5 linked regions of the Kluyveromyces lactis genome follow. The protein of the gene in region 5 purifies or fractionates together with the protein of the main gene of each other region. This does not show direct contact. Links are inferred from orthologs where the notes say so. Each region holds a gene or a part of one and is shown on either strand. Other genes may lie near its edges.

Region 1 (4,036 bases), on a different chromosome or scaffold from region 5:
TATTGGTTATTGATGTTAATTTTCCCACAAAACCGGAAATATTCGCCTTCCTCTCTGATAAATCTTGAAAAAGTACTGAGTATAGTAACTAGCACTGCTTTGTTGTAATCTGATCTTAACCTTATACCGTCTCTGGTTGGTTCGGATGGCAAATTTGCTTTGGTGTAGTAAATTACACTCTAGAGTTCAGCCTTTTATCCTAGAAGAAAACATTTCGTACTTACCAAGTTTTAGCATATGTCATGTTTCCGTTATTATATATTATTAAGGTTTTTCCTGGTGAAAAGGAACGGACACACAGAGAGGAAGAAGAAAAAAATAAACACACACACAGAGCTGATCTGCCAATATGAGTCCACCCGATATCTGTATGCGGCCGATTAATATTTCCCCAGTAACAATGTATAAATCAACGTGTAGAGACAGACAAAGAGTTTTCTCATACTTGCTCCTCTGACCAGAAGAGAAAGTCAAAAAAACCAATACAGAGTGTCTACCAGTCAAGCTATGGCATTTGAATCCTCATACGGTGTTTTTCTTTTCTGAAGAAGAGAAACACCTACTTAGAGTTAGTAGCGTAATACGCCTTGTGCTTTGAACTTGGTGAACCATATTTACGTTTCTGCACCATCAGGTGCACATTTGTGGGGTTACCAAAACGTGATACCGTTTAACGACACCAGTGCCAGAGCCAGTGCCGGTAAGGGAACAAGTAGTATCGAATTACATGCTGATCTCGTAATGGATTAAAACAATGACTGTGTGCCTTTCTTTCTCAACGTACAAGCATGCCTGTACGCTCTCTTCATCGTAAGTTTTTCCGTCCATATGGAGCGATAAACAGCCTTTGCGTATGTTTCTGTGTTTTCTTATTCCGCTTTGAACGAGCACTTCGCTCCTGCTCCAACAGAAGTTTTTCCGAAACAATGTGGAGTCTCATGTCATTCTGGTCACGTGATCGCATCTTTTCGTGTGACGTGATGTCAGGGTAACATGTTGTTGACTTTTTGGGATTTGTTGGTCACGTGTAAGTTTTTGAAATAGTATTTCCTAACTTCTTCATAAGGGCGGCAAAAAACCAAATCTGAAAGTAAACAAAGTAACTAACAACAGCGCACTTCTTGAGTGCAAGTTGACGAACAACACTACTGATTACCATCAGTATACACCTCTGATCATCGTCTGAAGCGTGTGTTTAGTTACCCGCTAACGAAGATCGGATGACTCAGGACTCTGAAGTGTTGCTATGGCACACTGTTTTACAACGACATAGGAACTACGTTCATTCCTGCATCGGTGATTTTACTTTGGATAGATCATCATTAGCGACAGCAGAAGCTGATACAACAAGTGTTAAGGGACCGAGGTCATCGAAGAAGCGGAAGGAACTGCAATTATGTCTAGCTACACAGGATTGTGTCGAATTGTACGATGTTAGCAATGGAACATTGGATGCGTTGGGTAAATGGCCTATAGCAGCTACTATTCTTTCTATGACCAAGTTGAATATGGATAGATGTTCACATACGATTTTGGTGTTGATAACTGATTCTGGGAATTTAACATTTTGGCAGTTTGAGAGGGATTCCGTGAGCGGGAAAGTGTACGTGCGTACTTTGGCAAACGAACCGATTTCCAGATCTGGGATCAGAAGGTTTGTACCTCAATATCAAATGGTTTCGGATCCACAGAGTAGATGTGTATTTTTCAGTGGGATTGAGCGTTCAAAGATGTGCGTGTTGGCTGACTGGCAACGTGGGAAATTGGTTGTTGGTTCTCCTATAGAGATTCAACGAAGTGATAGAATCACTTTGGCATCGGCAGCTTGTGATGTAAGTTTTGATAATCCGGTGAATGCTGCCATAGAGGTAGAATCTGGGACAAATGATTACTATTTGTCTTTTTATACAATGGATTTGGGTCTTAACACGTTGCTACTCCGGAAAGAGCATCTTTTAGAGGATAAATCCATCAATTTCGTTATGCAATGCCCAAATTTACAACAGTATAAGATTAAAACTAGACCGAATGATGAAACTGATCAAGATTCGGTAAATCCATTTGTTATTTGTGGTTATGATGGATACTTGACTCTGATAGACTTAGAAGGCTTTTATGAAGTGTCTGTTCAACTCCCCGTCAGAAAAACTGTTTCGTCAACTAATATCATCAACGGTACTATTCATAAATTGAAGAAAGATTTTTTCATCCTAATGCAGTCTAACCACGGAGATATGTACAAGGTCGGAATTATCCCTGATGAAGAAACTAAGGCGCCAGTTCTTGAAATTGCATACTTTGATACACTCCCCACTTCTGAAGACATCCACATTTTCAAGTCAGGTGCTCTTTTCAACGTATCAGAATTCGGGACCTCTTATTTAACACAGTTCGAAAGTCTTGGTGAAGATCTAGAAAAAATTACATCTTATACCCCGGGAAGGAGATCATTTATTGAAACAGAGTCCACTTTGAAAAACCTATCCATTCTTGACTCCTTAACTTCTTTAAATCCCTTGACGTCATTTCATGCATCAAATTCGACACCACTCACGATATTGGCTGCAGCCAATCAAACTGAGAATCTTGTTAAATTGACTTCTGCGGTTGATTTTGAAGAACTTATATCAACTACATTACCTAGAATACCATCAAAACTTTGGACCGTTAGAATTCCTAAAAACGAAACTCACAGTCTGATATTTCTTTCTATGGAAACCTCAACGACCATCTTGAAGATCCATGAGGGAACTGTCGAAGATTTTGGTGGAGATTCAAACCCATTTATTTTGAACAAACCATCATTGTTTGTTGGCGCTATGGTTCAAAGAAGTATTATTCAAGTTACTCGGGATTGTCTTTTACAAATTATTGAAATGCATGATGGTCCATACACCAAAAAACTTGAATGGTATCCACCAGCTGGTGTTGGCATCGTGACAGCATTTTGTAATGAGACACAGTTAGTTGTCGCTTTAACAAATCATGAAATATGCTATTTTGAAATCATAGAAGATTCGTTAAACGAATTACAGGATCGAGTGGAGATGGATTCTACAGTGAATTCTATTGCATTGCTCGCCGGTCAAAAGTCAGGCTATTGTGTATTAGGATGTGAAGATTCTAGTCTGCAGATTCTCAACTTACAGAGTAAACATCCAGATTTTTTCACTATCTGTGCTATTCAGTCACTAATATCAAAACCGCACTCTCTACTTTTCATGCGGGACACGTCGGATCTTAAGATCCACGTAGGTATGAAAAGTGGTGTTTATCTGTCATCTAAACTCAATATCAATGATGGCACAGTGTTCGATGTACGTACTAGATTTGTCGGAACGAAGCCCGTCCAGGTAAATCTCTTGGACAATATAGATATCAATCACAAAGATGATGATGATGATGAACCTGGAGAAAATGATTCAAAAATAGACGATTTCAAGAAGAAGATTTCGGATTTCACTCCACTAGTGGTATTGAATTCAAGCATATCTTGGGTAACTTACGAAATTGATGATAAAATCACATTACGTCCTTTGAAAACAGATGAGGGGATAACCTTGAAACATATAAATGCTTTTATCACGGATGATATCAAGCGCAACGGCTGCTGTTCCATAACCAGCAAAGGGCAACTCCTAATCGGCAAATTAGATAACTTTTTGTCCTGGAGTAACTGGTTCAATGAGAAAAAGTATACCCTTGTTAATGACGAACTTAAAAACGCTGGCAATGAAGAAGAGGATGAAGATGAGGATGAAGATGAGGATGAAGATGCAAGTGAGAAGTACGAAATCGTTGGTTATCAATCACAACGGATCCTTTCAGATACAACGGACAATTCGTTATCATATGTTATTTCAAAGACAGCTAATAAAGAAACCAGTCTATCAGCTATTCGCGATGATAAGCTATTGGCAACAAACAATGGGAATACGGTCGTGATTATTGCTAAAGAGGTCTTTAATGCTGTCTGTAGTTGCAATTTCGGTACAAATGTTAAATATATTGTCATATCTACTGAATCAGGGAAATT
Region 2 (4,106 bases), on a different chromosome or scaffold from region 5:
CATCTGGTTGAGCGACGTATGCTCCGTTATATAGTTTCCAATATGCGTTCCGAACATTCTTAGCAGGATGAAATAAACCTCCCCAGGCATAATTCATAGAAACACCTGGTCCTAGAGCCATTCTTAGTCCTTCTAGCCCCTCTAGGATTCTGGAAATAACATGAGGTGAAGTTTCAAAGACGTTTGGCAATAATAAATTCATGCAATGGATGAACGCGTCCTCTAATCCTCTTCCTGCACAATTGAAAGCTAAATGCTTTATGCAGGTTGCTGCAGTTTGTCGATGAACCAAGTCCCTATCTGTTAGAGCATCCTGCAACAACGGTATAAGTGGATAAATGTAATCCTTAGACATGGGACCAATGTATTCTAAAATAAAGGCAAGTGCCTTTAAAATACCGTTCTGTACGTTTGTGTCAGGTGTTCTGTATTCATTCATCAATGCAGGTATGACAACAAATGGCCCACATGTCTTAGCAACGATACCAATTGCAATAGAGGTGTTAACACGAAGTTGACGTTCTTGCACCTTCAAATTATTTAACAACGTTACCAAAACATCCTGAGGTCCTATCGCTTTGGCAATATATCCAAATGTTCTGTTCGCTGCCACCCTGATGGACTTCACAGGACTTTTTAACATTTCCAAAAGCTCAGAACAAATGCGCATCCATTCTTTAGGAGAAACATATTCAGGCCCACGCCTGGCAATTCTTCCAACAAGTTTAACAGTAGATTCCTGGACTAAAGGATGGTTGTTTCTCAAAATTGGTGTCAATGATAGTAAAATTTGATTCGGAGGTGGTTGTAAGTCAGTTAGCCTTATCTGTGCAGCAGCTTTGTCCATTGCGGAAATGATTGCAGCTAACACCTCTGGATAAACTTCGCCTAACGATTCAAAAAGGATAATGTTGAATTTATTGATAAGAGCTGTTTCTTCACAGTGTTTGAAAACCGGGATCAAGAGGGCACATAAACTCGCCGCATGTGTTCTAACCAAAGGTTTTTTGTGTTTCAAATGTTCTAGAATAATACTTGACACCGGCGAAATATACGGTTTCATTCTGGTATTCAAAGATTTGGCGACAGTTCCAATAGATCTGTAGACAATTCTCTCACCATTCGTTTGATCTTGGAATGCAATAAGTAAAGCATCAAGCAACCTCGCTTCAAGCCTTTCATCAACATCTGTCATTCCTAATGCTTTCACAACTCTGTTAACTGCATGTGCACCCATTGTTCTGAACGGTTCAGATTCATCCTTTAATGGATATATAAGCTTTTCAAGCGTGAATGCAGCTCCAGTCTTATTAGCCAATAAAACAGTAGTAAATGTTACTATGTTGTTGAGTTGACGATCCAAAGCCGATCTACGAACCCAAAATTGTTTGAAAAACTCTGCTGCTAGCTCTTTTCTCAGATACTGAGGTGTTACACCTTCAGTCACGGAAAGCTTTTGTATAACAAATAGAACCGTTTTCTTCATATCTTCGTTCGGTGAATTGAATTCTCTCTTTACAATCTTCATCACTTCTTCAGCGTAATACGACGCATATTCGGGATCCATCAACGGAATGAGAAATCCTAGAGCCTTCAAAAATGCAGCTAGTTCTCTTCCCCTGTTTTGTTTAACACCTCTCCAAAGTGGTTCGAGGACCGGATTAAAGCGCTCAATACCATATGGCTGGCAGCTTTGTGCCAATGATGACACTGTTTGAGCGGCTATGATTCTCACTGGAGGATGTTCATCTTGAAATCCCTTCTCTATACATGCGATAAGATCGTCGAGGTATGGTAAGCTACCAATCCCTACTAAAATAGCAATTTGCTGAATTATCTTTATCCCAGTATGTCTTGCCTTCCAGCTCTTTTTCGATCTACAAACCAATCGTAGGAATGGTATTGTTTGACTTACCCCGAAGGCTTTCGATACAACGGCCATTGCTCTCGCCGTCGTGTTTCGCACATACTCATCCTCATGGTCGAGATCTGGTCTCATTGTGTATATCATTGTCGGTAGTCCCACGGCTTTTGCCAAAGTAGTTATAATATCTCTACCTGTAGATCTAGTCAAGGGCACAGGATCTATAAGCATAGGACATAATACTATTAGGAGCTTATGTGTATATGGTTTTACCAAATCCTGGAGCTGGAAAAGAATTCTATCCATAAGTTTCAACATTAGTTGATGCTCTTCATCTTCAAGTGTTTTATCGAGAAGAATGGGCAAGATCGAATCAAATAACAATGGTGCCCCGAAAGAGGGTGCCTTTTGAGTGAGTGCTCTGAGAGCTATTTTCCTAGAGCTTGGTAACCCATTTTTCACCTTAAGTACCAATTTTAAAACCTGTTTCTGTTTCCTTTCCTCTTCAGTCATATCTTCTGGAGACCTTTCATCAAACAAAATTGCGAAATGTTGTCTGTCTGAAGGCTTAAAGAACTGAAGATTACGTACCCCTGGAACTTCAGTAACCATCTCTTCCGAGAGCTCAGTTATAATATGCTGCGAAGTCTTGGGCATCGTATATCCACCGCCACTTTCCTCTTCCTTATCACCATCCTTATCGGTTTTCCTTCTTTTCACATCTTTCACTTGCTCTTCATCCACTTCTTCATCCAAATTCCTAAGGAACCTTCTCTTATGATAATCAGACTGTTTATTATACAAGCTTCGTTGCTTCTGGTTGGCTGTCAACTCATCATCCCCCTCATCTTTCCCTACAGTCGATTCCAATATGGCTCTGGGAGCAGTGTATTGTCCTGTAAGAGAATGTCGCTGGCCCGACTTTTCGAACTTGATAGCTTCCATTTTAAGTACAGCTGTTTAATACCAAACTCGGCAATAGCAATAAAGATCCTGATTGGTGCTTGCCTTTCAGTTATACCTTTCTTCCTTTTGATTCAAAGGTTCTTGACATCAAAATTGTTACTAAGTTGTAACTCGAATCTTTAATTATAAACACATATACAAAACAAAGAACGATACTTCTCAACAGAGAAAAGAGGATAGTTTAGTTAAGAGGCCAGAAAATAGCCTAACTTTTAGAAAAGTATTATACTCTGGGTCCATACCGCATGAGGTTACAAAATTGGATTCCAGTTTTGCTTCTAGCAGCCATCGTGACGGCTGAAGTAGACTTTGAAGTTAATCCAGTTGACAACGAAACAGAATCAGTTCAGCAAGATGTTATAGATGAAAGCTGGAATGCAGAGCCTGGGGAATCATCGAGAATAACACAGTCCTCGAAGTTTCTTTCACTAGAGCATCCTATTGAGTATAATTTTCGAGAGCATCTGGATCTAACTCCCTTGCCTAACAACTTTTTGCTTGCAAGTTTTCAGTTCTATATGCAATCAGAGCCATTTGGTATAGATAGAGACCAGCACGAATCCAGTGAATACTCTCATCACACAGTTTTCCCGAAGCCCGTTGGGCCCATTATGTCACAGACTAATACCAGACAGTTACACTTGAGATTTACACATGGGCTATGGGATTCACAAGAATGGGGCCAGCTTCCACACAACGGGTTGAAATCTGGAGGAACAGGTGTGGAATTATGGGCTATTGTGGAAGCACCATCGAAGGAAGAAGCGTTGAAATCATGGATAACGTTGGCCAATTCGTTAAGTGGATTGTTCTGTGCTTCCATCAATTTCATTGACACTTCAAAGACGACGTTTCCGGTATCATCATTCTTACCGAAAGAAGACGAAGCGATCCCACTACTGAATCAAAGCAACCATCTTTACCTCATGAGAGCAACTTTAGCCAACGAACCGGTTTGTACTGAAAATTTGACCCCATTTGTAAAACTTTTACCAACAAGAGGGAAATCTGGTATCTCCTCTTTGTTAGATGGCCACAAGATCTTTGATTCAAATTGGCACAGTCTGTCGATTGATGTCAATACTGTTTGTGACGAATCAACTGCCAATTGCCACTTTGTTATGGAAGAATTTATCGAAACAGTGGTCAACGTACCAAATGCTTTGGCCAGAGCTGACAGACCAATTCCGAAGCCTTTACCAGGCGACGAACTTCGTTGTGACACGAATAGACCACACGACGCGTTCCAATGTTTCCCGTTACCTCAAAGCAAAGA
Region 3 (3,475 bases), on a different chromosome or scaffold from region 5:
CAAGATTGTGTCCAAGATCTTCAACGACTTCTTGTAATTTTTACCTTCATATAGTTGCAGTGCTTCCAACATATTGCTGTCATCCTTAGACCTACCAATTGGAAGTCCCACTTTCCCGTGAGATAGTCCCTTTTTTTTATACATGCTAGTGTAGATCAATGGGTCGCTGAGTGTAGATAAGCAAGCCAGTAAGAGTGTTTCTCCATTTATTCAGTCATGAATATGATTGTTGAACTTGATAATTTTCATGATTTAGACGTTGACTATTGTAAATTTTTCAGTTTAGAGATACATTGAAAATGAAATGTTTGGGTTTGAACGAACTGAAGGTAATAGTTAGCAAGCGGAGCTGGTACGATTCAAGGAGTTTATTACTCACCTACTGCAATAAAGTTAAAACATGTTGCAATCCAATGATACTTTTGATATAGTTACATACTCACATTTACAAATATTTTACGTAATTAAAGGGAAACAGCTGACACTTTTGAAACGTAGGGTTTCTAACGAGTTAATGTAAAGATCAAAAACGGAAGTCAGGCTCTTCTTCCACTTTCTGTTTTTTATGTAAGACATTATCATCGTCCTTCTCCTCTACGCTTGTTGATCGTTTGTTCGTAATATTGTAAGAGGTAGTGGAACTGATTATTGTAGATCCGTCGACTTCGTTTGATTTAGCTTCCGTTAGAACAGTAAATAAGGGTCTATTTTCATCATAGTGCTGGTTGACTACAGAGCCTCCATCAATTGGCACTAAGCCTGAATTATTGTTTTCATGTGTCTCGCTTTCTGTTTTTGTTGCTTCCGCTTCATTGGCGTCTGAAGACACCTCATCGTCGGAAATTGATTCGTTCAACGGATCTGGATCAATATGTGCGTCTTGATCTTCTAATTCTTCAAATGAGAACATGGCTCCGAATAAGTTTTGTTTGGGTATTCTCAAAGTATCTTCAGGGTAGTATCCGTATTGTGTACCGGTAAGATTAGAGATTTCCCAATTTATTCCACAGACTTTCATACCAGGGTATGATTTGGGTAGTCCTAATCTATTCATTTCATGACACCAAGGCGGGAGCATCCCCTCCGTGAGATTTAATGCCTCCCTTAAAGTTTCCGATAGATACCCTGGTCTATATCGTGTCTTTATTTGTTTCCATTCGAGTTCACTATCCAAACTTCTGTTTTCATAATATAAATCACCAAATGACAATAGTTCAGGTTTCCAATTCTTTCCCAAAGTGAAAAATGCTTCGTACAACCTTTTATAATCTAGATCTAATACACCTAGCTTGGGTTGAACTTTTGCTCTGGTAATATCCTTCAATTTCTCTGCTTGCTTTTCGTTTCCAGAGGGAACAGTCTCTCGCATCGTTTCAATATCGGTTTGTCTAATAATCTCAGGTAATTGAAATGGCTTCCTTTCCATCATTGATCGTCCAGATAAATAACCTCTTTTCATTTGCCAATGTCTGGGGATCCCCACTGTATTATGTGTTGTCTTTATAGCTGCATTGAAATAAGGCCATTGCGCATCGCAGTCAAACCATTCGATGAGTTCCGGATATGGTACTGAAGCTTTCAAAACAGCAATACTTGGTTTGTTAGCAAGTCTCTTTTGTCTTTCTGATATATTTTGAAGTACTTCATCCGCTTGATCCTCAAAACTGTCGGAACCCTCAGCATCCTCATCGTCAATATCAGCCCGTTCTTTTCGTACTATGGCTTGTTCCCGTTTTGAATCATCATCCTCATCGGCCCCTGTAGCCGAAGCTTTAAATCTTTGTAACACTTTATTGAGACTTTCATCCTTGATAACTAAAGGTTCATTAATTACCTGTTGCGAGGTGTTGCCATTCTCTGATGACACTTGTTGTAACAAACTGGAAAGCCTCTTCTTCCTTTCTTCTGCATCCTCTTTCACAGATCCATTTTTATTCTTTGAACGGCGTTTATTAGCCTTGGCTTTCTTTACCATAGTGCAATATCTGGTGGGCAGTTGACTGTTGTTATATTAATAAGCAGTCGAGCCAGAATACTATTGTATGCTCATCTGTCAATTTGCCTTTTTTATGTCCTTTATTAAGACCACATATATTTTTCAATTAAATGTTGAAATTTATACCATTATATTATACGTGAACAGATATGGCAACATTCAACGGTCTTGTATACATGTGATAGATGCTATATGACTATGGATAATAACGAATCACTCTTCTAAATTCTTGAGTCTATCGTTGATTGAATCGGCGAATTTGTTAAATTGTACATCATCGTCATTCACTTTCCGCAGTAAGTCCTGTAACTTTTGCTGAATATCTGAGGCTATCTCAAACACGGTGGGAACATCTTCGTTGGAATTACCACTATTTTCTGATCCTTTTGGTTCAGGGGTAACAATTGGTTGTGTCGAAATCATCTTTTGAAGTGATGACTGCATGTATATGGCTGTATGTAAGCTAGATCAATAGACTTCAAGGTATGTCGGTTCTATGACATTTACATTTTTTTTAGTTATTTGAATCCGATCCAAATTTTGGTGATACAAATGATACATGGAGGTGATGAGACTAACAATGGCGAGAACGCCAGCTGGTCTATTTTGTCCATGATAGCCTATTAGGTATACAGATGAGTTGGAAAGGGGTTTTTGCAAGTTCATTTCCCAAAGATACTTTACAGAAGTATATTGCTGCCAATGAGAGCATCGCCAACTCTACCGTTTTTCAAGGTACGCTATATGAGCTCACGGTGGTACGAGAATTAATGAATAAGCTCCGACTGGAGGATATGCAGGTAGTTGGCGGTTCATATGATGGCGGCATTGATATTCGGGGCAAATGGAACGTTTTACCATTAACAAAGGCTATAGAAATGCAAATACAATTCGATGAGCTACCTAAACGTTTGAAACTTCCGACTACATCGATAAAACCATGGAAACATAGGGTGAAACCCGATAAATATTTAGACTGTTACATTCAATGTAAGGCTTTCAATTCAGATAAAGTTACTGGCCGCCAGGTACGGGAATTAATTGGATCATTCTCCATGCAAGTTCCCGCTCGTAAAAGAAACTCGAGCATAATGATAATGAGCTCTCCAACTTTGTTTACAAAAGATGGAATAAGGCTGTTTAATGAGGCCGCAATACCAATGGTATTTACCAAAGTGGATATGATCCAGAGATTAGCTGATGGAAGCTTCGATGTGAAAAACTCGGGAAAACTACAGCATTATTATGAGAATGACTATGCATCGAAATTACTTGCAAATTGTGGAATCAAAGAATGGTTAAAATTGAAAGGTTATGAGTCCTTAGCACAAAAATGAAATATTAGCACGCAATTACGCTATCAGAAAAGTTTAAATAGAATGAAACCTGTACATATGATGAATGTAATAAATATGATATGCTAATTAATTTAAAGATGTATAAATTTATAAAGGTTGTGTATCTGATTATGCAGCGCAT
Region 4 (2,361 bases), on a different chromosome or scaffold from region 5:
AGAACAAGAGGATGCCCAAGTGTTTGAAGAGCTCGTGGCGGAAGCAAGCAAGAAAAAGGGTCATAAGCATCACACTAGCAGCACTGCCAATAAACAGTGAATACAAAATATTCTCAAACCGAGTGCTTCCTACCTAATAATAGCATAAACACTTGCCAATTCTTGTTTTTTCATTCTTTATTTCTGCATCATGTTCATATATACATACATAGCTTGCTACTTAATTGACAATAATATTAATTTAACATAGCGATAAACTTTCGACTACGCAACCGAATATTGCAACTCCTGACGATCAACGGGGGAGGGCTGTAAATTACAAATATTGTTTAAGAATTGCTCTACGTTCTGATTGAGACTGAGCAGCAGGTTTTCCCTCCTTTATGTCTTGAGAAACAAGGTCATCGGCTTCGATAGACTTTTCTATATATGTGATCAACTTATCTAAGTCGACGGCGGCAGTTGGAATACGAACCATTCCATGATCATCACATACCAAATAATCGCCGGGATTAATTGTCTCCGTAGTGCCATCGCTAATCTTAATCTTCAACTCACAGTTATACGAAATCGGTTTCAAAACTGCTTTTGGAGCACAGGTACCGATACCGTAACTGAAAACGCTGTGATCCAATGCCTTATGCTCTTCGATATCTCTGATTCTACCAAATACAACCGTACCATGGCTGCCTAAATATTTTGCTCTTGTAGACATTAATCCACCGTACATGCCCTGAATAGGTTTGGTATATGGAGCACTGCTCAATTGTAAATCTTCAGTCATACCGATGGTTACGATAGATTCTGCTGGCACATTATCGATGTAATTGACACTGGGTTTATCTTGGGTAGCATTTTTATGCCCGAACAACACAGGAAAAGCCCTACCCACGATAGTCCCAGACCCTGACCTTCTCACCAAATTAGGGAAATATCCACCATTAGTGATTCCATACAAATTCAATAGCCCATCTGAGATGTCACAAGTAGTGAAATGTCTCAACCTTGCAAGATACTCTGACATTCTGCGTGTGGGAATTATAATTCAGCAGCGATCCCGGTAGTGCATAAACTCTGGATTTAACTTCTTTCGAGCGATGGAAAAGTGTTGATAATTTAAAGGTGTTAAAGATTTGAATAAGTTTCTTGAAAGTTCGTTTATATAAGAACAAGAAGACAATTGAAGGTGTTACGCACGAATGGAGGAACCGGAGAAGAATTTGACGGTTACCGAAAAGGAGCTGCAATTTTCTGATAGAAAGGATAAGGAATAACCAATAGAGCTGGTACTTTGCGGTCATTGGGAGGCTGGTTCAACTGTGAATATTTGGAAGTGAAGATCCAATACGATTATCAATTATGAATCAGATAAGGTCGATACAGAAACTTAGTGAAAGGGAGTTGGAATGTGGGATTCTAAAGCCAGAAAGCTCATGGCATCATGAGTATAAAGATCAGGCCTACATAAACTTTGGAGGGATGCACCTCGAATTGACAGAAGCTGATATTCTCACCATATTCTCCCAGTACGGCTGTCCTGTGGACATCAAACTTGTACGCGACCAGACAACTGGAAAATCTAAAGGGTTCGGGTTTCTCAAGTATGAAGATCAAAGATCGACTATACTTGCGGTGGATAACCTAAATGGAGCCAAGGTTTGTGGAAGACTGATACGAGTAGATCATGCTTTTTATAGGCCAAGATCCGATGAAGCTGAGTACGAGGAAGCTGTAAGACAAGAGTTGGAGAAGGATTTCGCAAAAACAGGAGACGTACCGAGTGAACCCATGAAGCAAGAATCGGTGGCTGACCCGTTGGATGAGTTTGCTGATCCAATGGCTGCGTTTCTGAAGAAATGAAATTCACATTCCTAAAGGAACAAGTACGGAGCAGTTCTTTTATGACAACGTAGACTTTTAGTTTCAAATGATATTTATGTACATATCCTGTAACTACTTTTCAATAATTTAGATACATGAATTTACGGACGCGAGAGCATATAACTTATGGCATCGGTGGTGGTGGAGGGATGACCGGCACTGGAGGAGCGGGAGGAGCGGGAGGGATTGCGCCAGTAGGTGCGACAGATACATCTTCAGCACCTGGTGTATGGAACTTATCTTCCTCATCAGAGGCCACCGACTCTGGGATAGATAGTACGTCGGATGCATCATCCGGCTTTGGTTCTTCGTTCTCTGCTAAAGTTGCAGTTCCTCCTACTTTTAGTAAAGGAGCTGCCACAGGAACAGCAGGTGCTACGTCACTGTTTATTTGAGGCAATGGTGGGGCGATAGGTACTGGTGGGGCACCAGACCCTTCAGTAATCGACGTAGGCAATGGAGGTGGAGGTGGGATCAGGG
Region 5 (2,298 bases):
TATCGAAATCAAGAGGACATTTGAAATTGGTGATTCTGATGAGCTAGATCTCTCAGAATTTAACGATGAAAGTGCAGAAGTTAATACCCAATCCGCTGCCAAACCAAAATTCAATAAACCTAAGGCACCTTCTAGAAGAAGATAAGCTTTATATTTCGTGATATAGAATACCATTGCTGATGGGACTAGCATTCTGTTTCGAATGGTAACTTTCAATATGCACAGGCAGAATTATTATTTACCAAAAAGATATCAAAATATATTAACAATTACATAACTTCCCTGATGGAGAGCCTAGCCTGCTCCTCGTAATTTATCCTGCTGGGATCGAACCCAGTTGAAGATAACCCATATAACTTCCGTGACACCATTTTGTTTATGGCGATGTATCGATCCTTCGATAAAGATCCGCGGTGGTAGAATTTATCCAACTCTGTTCGTACGTATCCTTGTATCCTGCATTTGTCCTCGTAACTGATGGTGTAAGGTTGTGCGAATCTATTGTAAATGCATTCAGTAAGAATACTTCGCTTATCTCTCATCCTTCCATCGTAAATTCTCACGTTCGAATCTCGTATTACCATTGAAGATACTTTGTTCCCACGTAGTCTACAAAGAGTACCATCACACTCTATGCAACACCATTCTTTCTCACCGACTTCGCACAATAACTCATTCAGGCATGAAGAGTGGAATAACGTCTCACATGATTCACAGTATAACGTTATGTCATCATCAATTTCACCGCATAAGGCACATTGCAAGAGCTCTACTCCCTGCATGCCATTATTATTCTGTGGCTGATGTCCGATCTCTTCCGATTGTAGTGTATCCTGGTCACCATTGCCATTAGGATCTTCTTCCTCTTCCTCTTCTTCTTCTTCTTCTTCCTCTTCCTCTTCTATCGCTGCTACTGCTTCTTGCTCATCATCATTCAGTAATCGAAGCTTGGCAAACTGCTCGATCAACGACACATTACACCAGTACTTCAAATCAATCTCGATATCATCATGTTTACGGCGAAGGCTTTTGGACTCTTTTCTGCATGTAGGACACTTAAAATCGTTCGAATATAAGTGCCACTTCCTAATACAAGAAACATGATATCTATGCTCACAGGGTAAAAGCTCCCCTTGATCAGTTTCATTCATAGATTCCAAACAAATACCACATATTTCAATCATCTTGTGATATATAATGTAGTTGCTCGGAGGGTCATATAATATGAACGGTTTCCAAACCTACTTTTCTTCGTTTTTTTGGCCTATCCTGTAGATCAGTTCCTGTTTAAATCAACGGCTGCCACTTAAGCCCATCTTCTATAAAATTGTACCTTAGATATCAAAACTAAAAGAACCCACATATTAAAACAAAGAACAGAAAACTAAGTGTTTTTCCCCATACACCGTCAGGTCTTATTAATCTATTTATATTACTATTATTATCACTGGATTAAGATGTCTCGCCATCAGTACGACTTGGTTATGTGCATGAAACTTCCTGGAACCTCTGTAGGGAAGGTTTGTGATAGATGTGATGGAAGATGTCCCTTATGTGATTCAGATGTAAGGCTAATTTCTAAGGTACGGATATGCGACTCTTGCTCCTCTGGAAGTAGTGGAAGCAGGTGTATAATTTGCGGAAGTCCTGGAACGCATGAAGCGTTATATTGTTGGGACTGCCACAGATCTGAACGAAGCCGAGATGGCTGTCCCAGAATTTTGAATGTGGGTAGCAATAAGACGGACAGGTTATATAACAAAAAGACGGCGGATACCGGCAAAGGAGTATAGGATATCGATTTCTATCTTAAGGAACTATAATTTGTTATTTTACTGTTCATACGCTGATACAGTGTTGTATATTTACATGCATGAATTCTTAATTTCCATCGTTTCCAATTTATGGCATTCTGAGAATGATACTTTTAAAGTTTTAGTCGGTAAAAACATTGAACCATCGCTCAATCTATTTCCGAGATCGAAGCTTGGCCAAAACTTTTTGATTATTGGTTAAATAAGAAACTCTCTTCGATGGAATTGGCTTCGTATCGATTATATTCACTTGGATTTGGTTCCAGACCAAATACAAGCTTCAAGAGTTTAACGTATATATCAAGTCTTTCGTTTTGATATGAGACCATTTCTATTCTTTTTATTATACCATTGACATGATCGATTAAGTTTGATCTAGTCTTTGTTGATAAGGGTACCGTGTCAAGGTATATGTTAAGCTGTGAGTGTAGCGAATACCATTTCGACATATTCTGTTCATGGTTACTTTTCAGCTTTAGTATTT

Evidence for each region.
Region 1: the proteins of RDS3 (region 5) and RSE1 purify together in Saccharomyces cerevisiae (affinity purification with mass spectrometry; 5 studies listed by BioGRID). This does not show direct contact. The link is inferred for Kluyveromyces lactis from reciprocal best matches to the Saccharomyces cerevisiae genes RDS3 and RSE1.
Region 2: the proteins of RDS3 (region 5) and HSH155 purify together in Saccharomyces cerevisiae (affinity purification with mass spectrometry; 4 studies listed by BioGRID). This does not show direct contact. The link is inferred for Kluyveromyces lactis from reciprocal best matches to the Saccharomyces cerevisiae genes RDS3 and HSH155.
Region 3: the proteins of RDS3 (region 5) and CUS1 purify together in Saccharomyces cerevisiae (affinity purification with mass spectrometry; 3 studies listed by BioGRID). This does not show direct contact. The link is inferred for Kluyveromyces lactis from reciprocal best matches to the Saccharomyces cerevisiae genes RDS3 and CUS1.
Region 4: the proteins of RDS3 (region 5) and IST3 purify together in Saccharomyces cerevisiae (affinity purification with mass spectrometry; 3 studies listed by BioGRID). This does not show direct contact. The link is inferred for Kluyveromyces lactis from reciprocal best matches to the Saccharomyces cerevisiae genes RDS3 and IST3.

The regions. Positions count from the first base shown.
Region 1 is NC_006037.1:720,997-725,032, forward strand, and holds the start of RSE1 (U2 snRNP complex subunit RSE1), read left to right. Parts: upstream 1-1,220; coding exon 1,221-4,036. UniProt on the Saccharomyces cerevisiae protein: Involved in G2/M transition. Required for pre-mRNA splicing and endoplasmic reticulum (ER) to Golgi secretion pathway. U2 snRNPs associated protein required for the pre-spliceosome assembly.
Region 2 is NC_006037.1:834,356-838,461, reverse strand, and holds the start of HSH155 (U2 snRNP complex subunit HSH155), read right to left. Parts: upstream 2,810-4,106; coding exon 1-2,809. Other genes in the region: GPI-anchor transamidase subunit GPI16, read left to right, coding at 3,076-4,106. UniProt on the Saccharomyces cerevisiae protein: Contacts pre-mRNA on both sides of the branch site early in spliceosome assembly.
Region 3 is NC_006042.1:790,336-793,810, forward strand, and holds CUS1 (U2 snRNP complex subunit CUS1), read right to left. Parts: upstream 1,976-3,475; coding exon 524-1,975; downstream 1-523. Other genes in the region: peptide alpha-N-acetyltransferase complex A subunit NAT1, read right to left, coding at 1-144; BIL1 (Bil1p), read right to left, coding at 2,210-2,440; RRG7 (Rrg7p), read left to right, coding at 2,632-3,333. UniProt on the Saccharomyces cerevisiae protein: Essential splicing protein required for U2 snRNP binding to pre-mRNA during spliceosome assembly.
Region 4 is NC_006040.1:1,156,990-1,159,350, reverse strand, and holds IST3 (U2 snRNP complex subunit IST3), read left to right. Parts: upstream 1-1,359; coding exon 1,360-1,860; downstream 1,861-2,361. Other genes in the region: DJP1 (Djp1p), read left to right, coding at 1-100; KLLA0_D13442g (bifunctional 4-hydroxy-4-methyl-2-oxoglutarate aldolase/oxaloacetate decarboxylase), read right to left, coding at 317-1,024; actin cytoskeleton-regulatory complex protein PAN1, read right to left, coding at 2,006-2,361. UniProt on the Saccharomyces cerevisiae protein: Required for pre-mRNA splicing and spliceosome assembly. As part of the pre-mRNA retention and splicing (RES) complex, required for nuclear pre-mRNA retention and efficient splicing. Required for MER1-activated splicing.
Region 5 is NC_006039.1:1,359,175-1,361,472, reverse strand, and holds RDS3 (U2 snRNP complex subunit RDS3), read left to right. Parts: upstream 1-1,457; coding exon 1,458-1,793; downstream 1,794-2,298. Other genes in the region: twinfilin TWF1, read left to right, coding at 1-145; ubiquitin-protein ligase ASR1, read right to left, coding at 270-1,184; Arf family guanine nucleotide exchange factor SYT1, read right to left, coding at 2,006-2,298. UniProt on the Saccharomyces cerevisiae protein: Required for pre-mRNA splicing. Involved in regulation of drug sensitivity and may play a role in multidrug resistance.